2 linked regions of the Oryzias latipes genome follow. Each later gene encodes a partner of the first gene's protein in a complex. Links are inferred from orthologs where the notes say so. Each region holds a gene or a part of one and is shown in the gene's direction. Other genes may lie near its edges.

Region 1 (5,318 bases):
ACACTGATAGTAATTGGATGAATGCTGGAACTTTTAATTTCTTTTAAAAGAGATTTACTGACTAATAAATAGTCAAAATGAGAGTGTGAGTGATGAACTGGAGAGAAGAAGGTAAACCCTTTAGTGTTTGGGTGACATGAGCGCCAAGCGTCGCAGAGACCTAGATCATTCATGTACTGCTTTAGAATACTTGCAGACCGGCATGTGCGTTGGTTTGCTGCTGTGCTGAGTCTGTCAAATTCAGGATCCAGAATCAGATTGACGTCTCCGCCTATAAGAATTGTGGAGGCAGAGTGAACCGAGAGTGAGGTGAAAAATCTGTGAAAGAAGGAAAAGTCGTCAACATGTGGGCCATAGACACTAGCTATGCAAAAGTCATTGTGCTAAACTGATATGATAATAATTACATTTCTGCCTTCTGGGTCAGTAACTGTATCCTTATGAGTAGATGTAATATTTTTATTGATTAAAACAGCAACTCCTCTTTGTTTGGAGTTGTAACTAGCAGAATACATGAATGGAAATTGTGAGCAGCACAGGAGATGATCAGACTATTTAGATAAGTGGGTCTCCATCAGCATAGCCTCGGTGTCCGTCCACAAACTGGTTATCCACGGCGACCACCGCTCGGCAGTGAGGTTTTTCCTCCTCAGTGGAAAAAGGATCTTCCTTCGGCGCTGAAAACTGGTCGATAGCACTGAAGTGTTAACACTGAACTGAATGTGTGCATCTATGACAAAAAACAATGTGTTTGCACATTTTCTTTCCGCGGTAGAACTGTGAAACACAGTAAAGTTTTCCACTGCAGAATCAGAGAGCATTTGTTTTTACTTATTACTCAACTTCACAGAGATGATACACATTTGTACACTGACATTTTAATGTTTGTCTCATAGTAGTAAGTTATTATTGATATAAGAAACTAAGGAGTGATCCTAAACTGCCTTTGTGCAGAAAATATTTCTGACAACCCTCTCATCAGGATGAAGAACGTGATTCCGCTTATCCTACTTTGAGCTATAGTCCCATGATGCACCTGAACAGGTCCATGGAGGGTCATAGAGACTAGTGGCTGGTTCAAGGTTCAGCTTAAAGGGGGCATAGGTGTGTCTTATAGTTCCCTTGAGACTCGTCTAAAACAGAAAACACATTGTACTTGAGATGCTCTTTCGCCGTACTCTAGTCGTCAGTGAAGCATTAGTCTCTGCCCTTACAGGTGGATGTGTTTTTGTGAGAAGATGTTCTCATTTTGTGCAGCCCTACTTCCTCCCTCCACCTCAAGCGTACATTCATGAGAGTTTCTACCAACCGTTGTTTGGATCCGGAGGCTGACAGCATGATCACATGACCATAACAGGTGTTTACTGTCAGTCCAAATGTCATCAGCTGGTAATACAGTGGATCTTTGAGGGCTGTGTTCAATCCGCTCCATCTGCCATAAATCCCTCTTCCTGAATAAACTCTTGATCAACAAAGACTTGGATTTATTGTTTCTGATGGAAATGTGTCAGAAGGCTGAGGACTTTTACCGCCTGAAGGAGCTCTGCCCCCCTGGCTGTGATGTCATCAGGACTAGACAGCAACAGATATGTTTTTTCAGGGCCGATACAGACATTAGTAGTCAAGAAGGCCGATAACCGACATTTGGAGCTGATATTTGTTTGCAGTAAAAGTGGAAAAATTAGCATAAAAATTTAGAATAATACAATAACCAACAATTATCTTTATTTATAAAAAAAAAAGAATAAAAAAGGTAAATAAATGGCTCCTATAGGTGCAGGCAGTAACGGGCTCAGCAGCATCTTTGTTAAATACAAACTTCAACCTAATTTAAATGACTTTTCTTTGTGGAAACATGAAACCAAAACTAAAGTGCAGCGAGTTCCTTGGTGCTGGAGACGGAGAGCTGCATCTGAGCCATAATAACCCGTCAAAATCAGCCTGTTGGATTGAAAAAAGCTAGATGCCGACATACGTCAACAAAACAAAAACCAGCGCCAATCGGCCTGGCTGATCATCGGTCGACCCCTACTCTGGACCTTTTCTTCTAACTGCGTCATTGAGGCCATAGCTGTGTGATGTTTAACATCATCTTCTCTTTTAAAGACGATCATTAATAAGGATGTCATTGATCACTTTACTGCTTCTTGATCCACAGTTAGTGATAGAGGATGCCCAACACCGGCGTTTCCTCAAAATGCCAAATATCAGCCAGTTTATGGGTCAACCCCTAGTTTGCTGTTTCAGGAACCAAAGCTGCTTATGAATGTGTGCATGTGATAAATGGGGGGGGTTAGGGAAGAGCACCACACCTTAGGCCTGCACAATTAATCGCAAATGTATCGTTATCGCTTGTGCTAAAACCATCTCCATGGCAACTTGAATTATTTAATGAGTGGAATAAATCCCTTTATGCATTTAACCAATCAGATTGAGCCTTTCACGTTGTTGACCAATCGGATGGAGCTTTTATGTTAGATGTTGCCCTCTTAATTAGACGAAGTTCATTTGGAGAATAATTTAAGGTATTTTGACCCTTATTTAAATTATACTTTGCAGTAAAATGGAAACGTTTTTGTTGTTTTTGCTACTTGTCCATTTATCGCTAGCTATATCGTCATCACAATATTGATCATTATTAGTCAAGTCAAAGTAAACTTTATTGTCAATCTCTATAATGTTTTTGCATACATAGAAATTAAAATTCTGTTTCTCTTCAAACTCCTGTTTAAATGGGGAATCAAACTTCAAATATTGCGAGTTTTCCTTAAATCGGGCAGCTCTACCACACCTGCATTTACGCAGGTGTGGTAGAGGATGCCATGGAGCCTTTGTTTTTAGAAATCTGAATGTTTTCATATGCCAGTGCTGTTTACTTCATTTTGCACTCTGAAACCCACACACTGTTTCAGTAATGAAGCTCTCAGACTCAGACCCTCACCAATATAATATTCCTGTCTCAAGGTGCCTTGCCTTTGAGGTTAAAAAGCACTGGCTGATCATGTTCTTCACAATGATCAGGTTTGTTCTTAATTTCAGGGCTGAGACCGTTTATGAGGACATGAAGCAGAGGTATGGCTCTCAAGGGTGCTACCTGCTTAAGATCAACTCACGTGCCGTCTCTGCTGAAGAGGACGAACAGATTCCAGATCCCTGGAGTCAATACCTGCACAAGAACAACCTACGTTACCAGGTAAGCTTGGTTATCGGTTCGCTTTCACTGAGACCTTCAGCTAGGATCAGCATTCAGAGCCTGTCTGGTTCCTAAACGATGCTTGCAGTCCAACATGCAGCCGACCGTGAGGACCTGGGACCGAGCAGAGCCTCACGACTGTCAACGTTTCTGCTGAATTACCTTTTATCTGAAAGTGAAGAACAATGGACATGCCCAGGCGTTAACATCACCTCCTGCGTTTCAGGACCCAGCTGATGGAGCTCCAGCTGCTGAGAAAGGGGGTGACGAAGAAGGTGGGACCTTCACACAAACGAGTGAGACAAATGATGGGTTGCATTGTGTTTATCAGCTGAATTATTTCATTTTAGTTGTCTAAACATCCCTGTGGGATTGGTTTCTATCTCTGCTCTCATGCACTATTTTCTGTGGTGCACATATGAGCACACGGTGGACTGAGGGCGCACACTTGTGGTTTTTAGCCTCAAAAGCCATATGTGCATGTATAAACACACGTCAGTCAAATGTGTATTTAAAGTCCCCCTCTGATGAAAATCCTGTTTTTTTTAATTGTTTTGCCTTTTGCGTGTGGCATTTTCATTATGAAAGCGTTCAGATAGAAAAACATTTCATTTTTGCATTTTTGAGTATTTCTCCTTTTAAATGGCTGTCAATCAAACTGTGTTAAAGATGTGATGTCACAGCAGCCCAGGAGCATATTGCACAACCTTCCTGATCTGCCCATCCAGTGTGGACACACTCAGGTGTGATTTTGTTGTTGACGCACGTGTTTAGAATGAAAGTTCAAGTTCCAAATGTGTTCTCCACATTTGTGTCTCTCTGACCGAGGTTGAAGGCTTACTGTCCCGCATTAACCAGAGAGGGTAAAAATGAAAACCAGAATAAAATCAGGGGATCTTTTTTATGAATATAAGACAAATATCCTAAAGTTCAGGAGACCCGAGCAGGCTGGCTCCCCATCCTGCAGCGGCTCTCTGTCGCCTCCCTGGAGCCGGCGTAGTGATCGGGATCGGTGTTCCCGTCCCGGCTACTGTTGGGCGATTTTGTTCAGACGGGAACCAAACCCGCTGCTACCAGACCTTTGTGCCGCCCCCATCGCTCAGATGGCGTCCGTACCGTTGACCTAACACTGAAACTGGCCGCCTCTGCTGCGCCAATCGCGTTGGGTGTGAACGCAGCTTAACCCTAACCCGTAATCCTAAACATAACCCTTCCTCCGGTTCAGCGCTAAGCACAAAGGTATTTGGAAAATCAGGTGCGAATAGTCACTTTGTTTCTGGCATTTCATTTTATTTGCTGCTCAAATAAATGTGATGATCTGCATGTGCTAGCATCACATCGGTCCTGAGCCACAGTCAGTGCTGTTGCTGCTGCAATGGAACCTAAATTCTATTGTCATTCAAAACATTTTTCATAGGTTTATCAAAGTTCTTTTTGGTGTCATTTTATTAAATGTCTGGTTCACACATTCGTTTTGTCGTTCTGTTCAAAAGTGTCCATTTGGAACCAAAAATTTCACTATTCACGAAGGAGAAGCTTTGGAGAATAGAGACTGTCAGTCGGTGTCGTTGGTGCCCCCCCCCCCCGGTGTCAAAGTCTTCACTCATGCCAGACACAGTTTGCAGAAAGGAGGGGATCGAGGGCGGAGCTCAGCAGCAATGGCCACACCCATGTAGAGGAGATTTTGGAAACAGATGCTTCAGATGATCATGAAGTATGGCTTTAAGACATTTAGGTTGTGGGATTTTGGTTAAAAAACCTTAGAATCAATTAAACTTCCGTAGCTCAGTTTGTAAGGTGAAGGAGTGGCACACAGGAATCCAGGGATCGATTCTCAGGGGCAATGAACAAGCAAGCAATGGTTATAGGGCAATTACCATATTAATGGTGAGCAATTAACATCGACCAGTGAGGGCCCTTGGGCAAGACCCTTAAGGGTACTGCTTCCCTAAGAATGTGCAGGAATGTCCTGGTGCTGGTCAGAGGGGCCGTAGGCGTGAACTGGCAGCCACGCCTTTTTCAGTCTGGCTACATCAGTAGCTACCATCACTAAGTATGAAGGAGGACTGAATGAATGATGGACACACTGTAAGCGCTTTGCGTCTGGAAAGCGCAGATAAATCTA
Region 2 (5,318 bases), on another chromosome or scaffold:
ACCAGGAAGGTGTTGATTTCAGTGGCCACCCAGCAGTATAGCCCTGCCTATGTGGAGAGCAGCAGACTTACCATGCCTGGTCTAAAGTTTGACAACCTGCAGGTAGGAAACTTGCCAAGTCCTTTTTTTTTTTTTTTTTTTCGACGACATGATCATAATTGTTTTTGTTTTTCTAGAATGGCTATTTTCATTAAAAAATCAATTCAGTGAATTTTACAAATCAAATGAGTTTTATTTGCTTTTTGGAAAATGTCTCTGCTTATTTTCATGGGGTATTTTCTGAGCCTTAATTGGTTAAAAAGCTTTGGATTCAAAGCTCTTGTCACCGGATCCCTTGATTGACACTCTACCATGTGGCTACTGATCTTTTTTATCACCTGTTCATGTGCAGACTGTGCAGTCAGACGGGGCTGAATGAGTTTAAAAAAATTTTCCATCCATCTATTTTCCAAAATTACAAAATTCTTTCAGGGTCACTGGGCTGCTGGAGCCTATCCCAGGTACTGTTGGACGAAGTCCAGTTCACTGGACTGGTCTTCAGTCTGTCACAGGGCAACACGACCACATACACAGACACACACACCCTCTTACTCACACCAATTTCAATGATCAATTAATCTATTGAGTACGTTTTTGGACTGTTGGAGAAAACCCACGCATGTACGTAGAGAACATGCAAACTCTACACAGAACTGTCCCAGCTGGGATTTGAACCATTGCCTTCTCACTGCTAACCACTATCCCACATGCAGCCTGTGACTTCAGTTCAGTTTTAAACTATTATTAAAGTTCTGTCGTTTGTGAATTACAGTTACTAAAGCAAACATAATATTCTAAATAGAATCCATCGTTGAAGATCCTCTGAAGTTTTTCAGCTTTCTTACTAACTCACAACAACAACAACCCTGTTGATGCTCTCTCCTTTCTTGTGTACCGGTAGTCTTTAAGGGCTCCTATGTACAGATCCGGACTCAGAAAGTGTTCATTGTAAAATCAGGATGCGATGAATGCTTACTGAAAAAACTGATAATAATAATAAAGTAGTCACCGAACTACTCCATTGACATTTAACTAATAACTCTATGAGATGTTTCAGTCTGGATTCCGTCCCAGTCACAGTACTAAGACTGCACTCACCAAAACCACCAACGACCTCCTCCTCACAGCGGACTCTGTATTACTCTCTCATCCTTCTCGACCTCAGCGCAGCATTTCATGCCATCTCCCACTCCATCCTGTTACGGAGACGGAAACTATTACTGGTTTCAATCCTACCTCGCTGGTAGTTTATACAACTTTCCTCTTCTCGGTCCCACCCCTCCCCTGTAACCTCTGGCATTCCCCAAGGCTCTGTCCTTGGCCCCCTTATTTTCATAATCTGCCTCCTACCTCTTGGATCTTCTGTGATTTCAATATCTAAGTCTACTGCTATGCCGACGACACTCGACTCTATTTATAAACCACACCAAACTCCACCCTCCACCCCCACGTGCCTCTTATCCTGAAATCCTGGGTCTCCTCCAATTCACTTGAACTCAATTGTAATAAAAACTAAGGTTATTCTAGTCTGCACAAAATTCATCCTCTCCAAGGTCAACAGCTTCACACTCACCATAAGTAAGTCATCAGTCCCCTCCTCCCCCCCAAGTGAAGAGCCTGACGTCATTTTGGCCAGCTCCCTCTCATTCCACGCCCACATCAACAACATCATCTGGACTGCATATTATCTTCTCAGAAACATCAACCGTCTTGGTCCCTCTCTCCCATCTTATGCTGCCTCCACCCTTGTCCATAGTCTCGTCACCAGCCTTATCGACTTTTTGTAACTCCCTGCTCTGTGGCCTCCCTCAAAAAACCCTTCACAAACTTCAGCTGCCCGAATCATCACTAGGACCCCCCCTGTCCACCCATATACTCCAGCAGCTGCACTGGCTGTCAGTCCACTCCAGAATCCTTGTCCAAATCCTCCTGCATGCTTTTAAAGCCAACCACGCCCCTTCACACCTGTCCAGCCTGATCCACATTGCCACACCACCCTGTAGTCCAAGATCCTCATATTGTCTTACTCTCTTCATCTGACGGCCCCCCTCCCTTGTCTCAGCACCATGGGGGGCAGAGCTTTAGGCTGTTTTGCCCCCAAACTTTGGAATTCACTACCTCCGCAATCAGAAACAGACTGTTTTTCCATTTTTCAATCAAAACTCAAAACCCATCTGTTCAAACGGTCAAACTCATCAGAATTTCACATCCCCACCTCTTTCTTAGTCCTTTTTTTATTCAATATTTATTTGTTTTGTTTTACTCACTTGTACAGTGTCCTTGAGAGTTCTGAAAGGCACTTTATATAGAATGTATTATTATTATTTTTAAAAACCAAGCATTCCCATGTTCTATTCCTCTAAATTCTGGAAAAGAAAAAAGCTGTCTTGATATCTATGCTAAGATTTACTCACTTTTCTGGGGATTTTTATTTCCTCTGGATTTTTTGTCTGCTGTGGAATTTTGTTGGCATTATTCCATTTCACCATATAATTTCTTTAATTATTGTGTAAAATGTGTCACTTTGGTTAACAGCAGTTGCTTGCTTTGAAATAACGATTTTGTGTTTCTTCAAAATGCTTTTGAAGCCATGTGTTTTGTTTCAGGTGGATGCTGTGAAGGACTTAATGCTTCGTTTCGTGGGCGAGCAAGCAGCAATGAAGCGTCAGGTCCTCACCGCCAGCTCTGTGGAGCAGTCCTTCAATGGCCTCAAACAGCTCGTTGTAAGGCTCCCTTTAGCTTTTTACCGATCTTACAATATTCACTCTTAAAATAACTATAGCTGGAGAAAAAAAGGTTCTTTCAAACAGGATATGTATATTTTGTATACAGTTACACTCCACTTAGTTTGCGTAAGAGCCTGTTTGCTTTTTATAATTGTTTTAAGTTACCTTAGCATTTAATCAAACTGTAAAATAAAAAAACTGCCCCAACATTTAGGGGGATTAACACATTGGTCAAAAAGCTTTGCCTCAAATTTTAGTGTAGGCTCAGACCAATGTTTTTCAGTGTTTTTTTGAGCCAAGGTAGACTTTTTCCTTGACAAAACTCAAAGCAGCAACAAAAAATGTTCCAAAAGAGAAACTCCGTATTCATGATGTACTAGTCCCTCCAGAATTTTGTGTGCAATTTTTGTTATAGTTGTGGTACAAAAAGCTTGAATTTGTGTTTGTTTTTCTTAGAAGTAGCAAAAAATCTCAGTTAGTAATTGTTTTTTTTATAGTTTTTTTTTTTTAACTTTACGTGAGTCGAGTAGTGGAATCGTTTCTGCGAAGCCTGTAGGTACCACAACCATTCGGCCTGCAACAACTGTTCGGGGTCTTTTGACTAATGCAGACGTCACATTATGTGATTGGCTGTCCGGTGGTCCGATGACGTGTCAGATAGTGATTGGACTGGACAAATTACGATACTACCATAGAAGAAGATATTATGCAGTCTGTTGTAAACAAACAGAGCTCCGAAATGGAGCGAGATTATCTTTTAAATGTGCTTTTATTATTGTTACGATTATTATTAAGTGCAGACGAACGGACTGCAGTCCGAACCCTCCTCCGGACCGCACTCTATAACAAAGCACCTTCTCTGCCTGCGAACACGAAGCTACGAGACTCCAGCTGCTCTGATCAGAGACATGGTGACGTGAAATGAAAACGTGTAGAACCCGAGCAGATCTCCACGCTACGTGGTTTCTCCAAGTGGGGCTACCGTAGTGTGACGTTATCCTTAGTCCAAAGGACCCCGAACGGTTATTGCAGGCCAAATGGTTATGGGACCTACAACGTATCCAGGCTTGCTTAATTTAGGGGAGGCGCCAAAAATGATGGCGTCTGAAGCTTTACGAAAGCCATGTGATTGATTCATGGAGTGGTTCACATTGTCCTGCGATTTTTCGCTGCGGCATGAATCCCTCAGGCGCCTTTCAAAATGTTAATGCAAAGTCAGTGAGAGTTAGGAGAAGAAACTGTGATATTTAAATAAAACCATTGTATCCCCTAAACAATAACCCCTAACCTTATCTCAGTGTTAAAAAAGCATAATCATTATCCACAGTGGTCCTTCATTTAGCGCAGGAGTTGCGTTCTAAAAATAACCCATGATAGACAATATCTGCAAATATTTCATCTTTAATTTTTTACTATTATTACAGACATTTTAAGGCTGTAAAACTCCTCACTACACACTTTATCCTCTTTTCTCAGACAGACATGAACATTTTCACACTTTTCTCTCAAAGTTCTAACCTTCAAGAAGTCCAGAAGACACGGCACGGATGAGATTGATTGACAAAATCTACAGCCAATCAGGATGCAGAACACAGGTTCTGTAAGAAAGAACAATTTTATATAGTGATATGACATTTGGTATCGAGGCTTCACAGCATGTGCCGAGTAGGGGAGAGGAAAGGGGGGGGTTTCATGATGTTGATGATTTCTGAAGCCTTGCTGCCCACTGTACCATGTGACTGATTCATGAACTGGTTCAGATTCTGCCGTGAGTTTTGACAACGATATGAATCCCTTCAGTCTTTGAGAAATAATGAAATAAAGCACTTAAGCACATTTATGCGCTCTCCTTCCCCCTGTGATACTGATTTGTCACACCTAGATGTCATAGGAAAAAATAGCCTTTTTTTTTCTTTTCTTTTTGTAATACAGGTTCGAGCCCCTTTTAGGGACCAACCCAGACTCACACACAACCCCCTTAATTTCCAAATGTTCCTTTGTGATTCAGTAAAAATACTTTATAAATTCACTTGTTTATTTATTTCAAACAATATAAATAAACACACACAAAGAAAATATTCGGCAGTGTACTCAACTCAACTCAACTTTATTTATATAGCACTTTCATACAACAGTAGTTGAGACAAAGTGCTGAACACAATAGTAAAAAACATTAAAACATGTTAAGGGGGGGGAAACACAGAGGGAGATAAAACTATAGAAAACAGTAAACAGTTAGAAAAACAGTGGTCTCATATTGGGCTAAAAGCCAAGGCATAAAAATGGGTTTTTAAACGGGTTTTAAAAATGGACAGTGAAGGGGCTTCTCTAATGGCCAGCGGCAAAGTATTCCACAGCTTTGGAGCGGCTACAGCAAAAGCTCTGTCCCCTCTGAGCTTCCGTCTGGACCTCGGTACCTCTAAAAGCATCTGATCAGCTGATCTGAGGCACCGTGCCGGCGAAAAGGGAGTGAGAAGCTCAGAGAGGTACAGCGGGGCAAGACCGTGTAAAGATTTAAAAACAAGCAGAAGAATCTTAAAATGAATTCTAAAA

What was found.
Region 2: trappc8 (region 1) and trappc12 share a complex: the UniProt entries of both Homo sapiens proteins name them as parts of the multisubunit TRAPP (transport protein particle) complex. The link is inferred for Oryzias latipes from reciprocal best matches to the Homo sapiens genes TRAPPC8 and TRAPPC12.

What each region holds. Positions count from the first base shown.
Region 1 is NC_019862.2:1,523,290-1,528,607, forward strand, and holds part of trappc8 (trafficking protein particle complex subunit 8), read left to right. Parts: intron 1-3,039; coding exon 3,040-3,193; intron 3,194-3,419; coding exon 3,420-3,489; intron 3,490-5,318. UniProt on the Homo sapiens protein: Plays a role in endoplasmic reticulum to Golgi apparatus trafficking at a very early stage. Maintains together with TBC1D14 the cycling pool of ATG9 required for initiation of autophagy. Involved in collagen secretion.
Region 2 is NC_019880.2:20,760,238-20,765,555, forward strand, and holds part of trappc12 (trafficking protein particle complex subunit 12), read left to right. Parts: coding exon 1-102; intron 103-2,645; coding exon 2,646-2,762; intron 2,763-5,318. UniProt on the Homo sapiens protein: Component of the TRAPP complex, which is involved in endoplasmic reticulum to Golgi apparatus trafficking at a very early stage.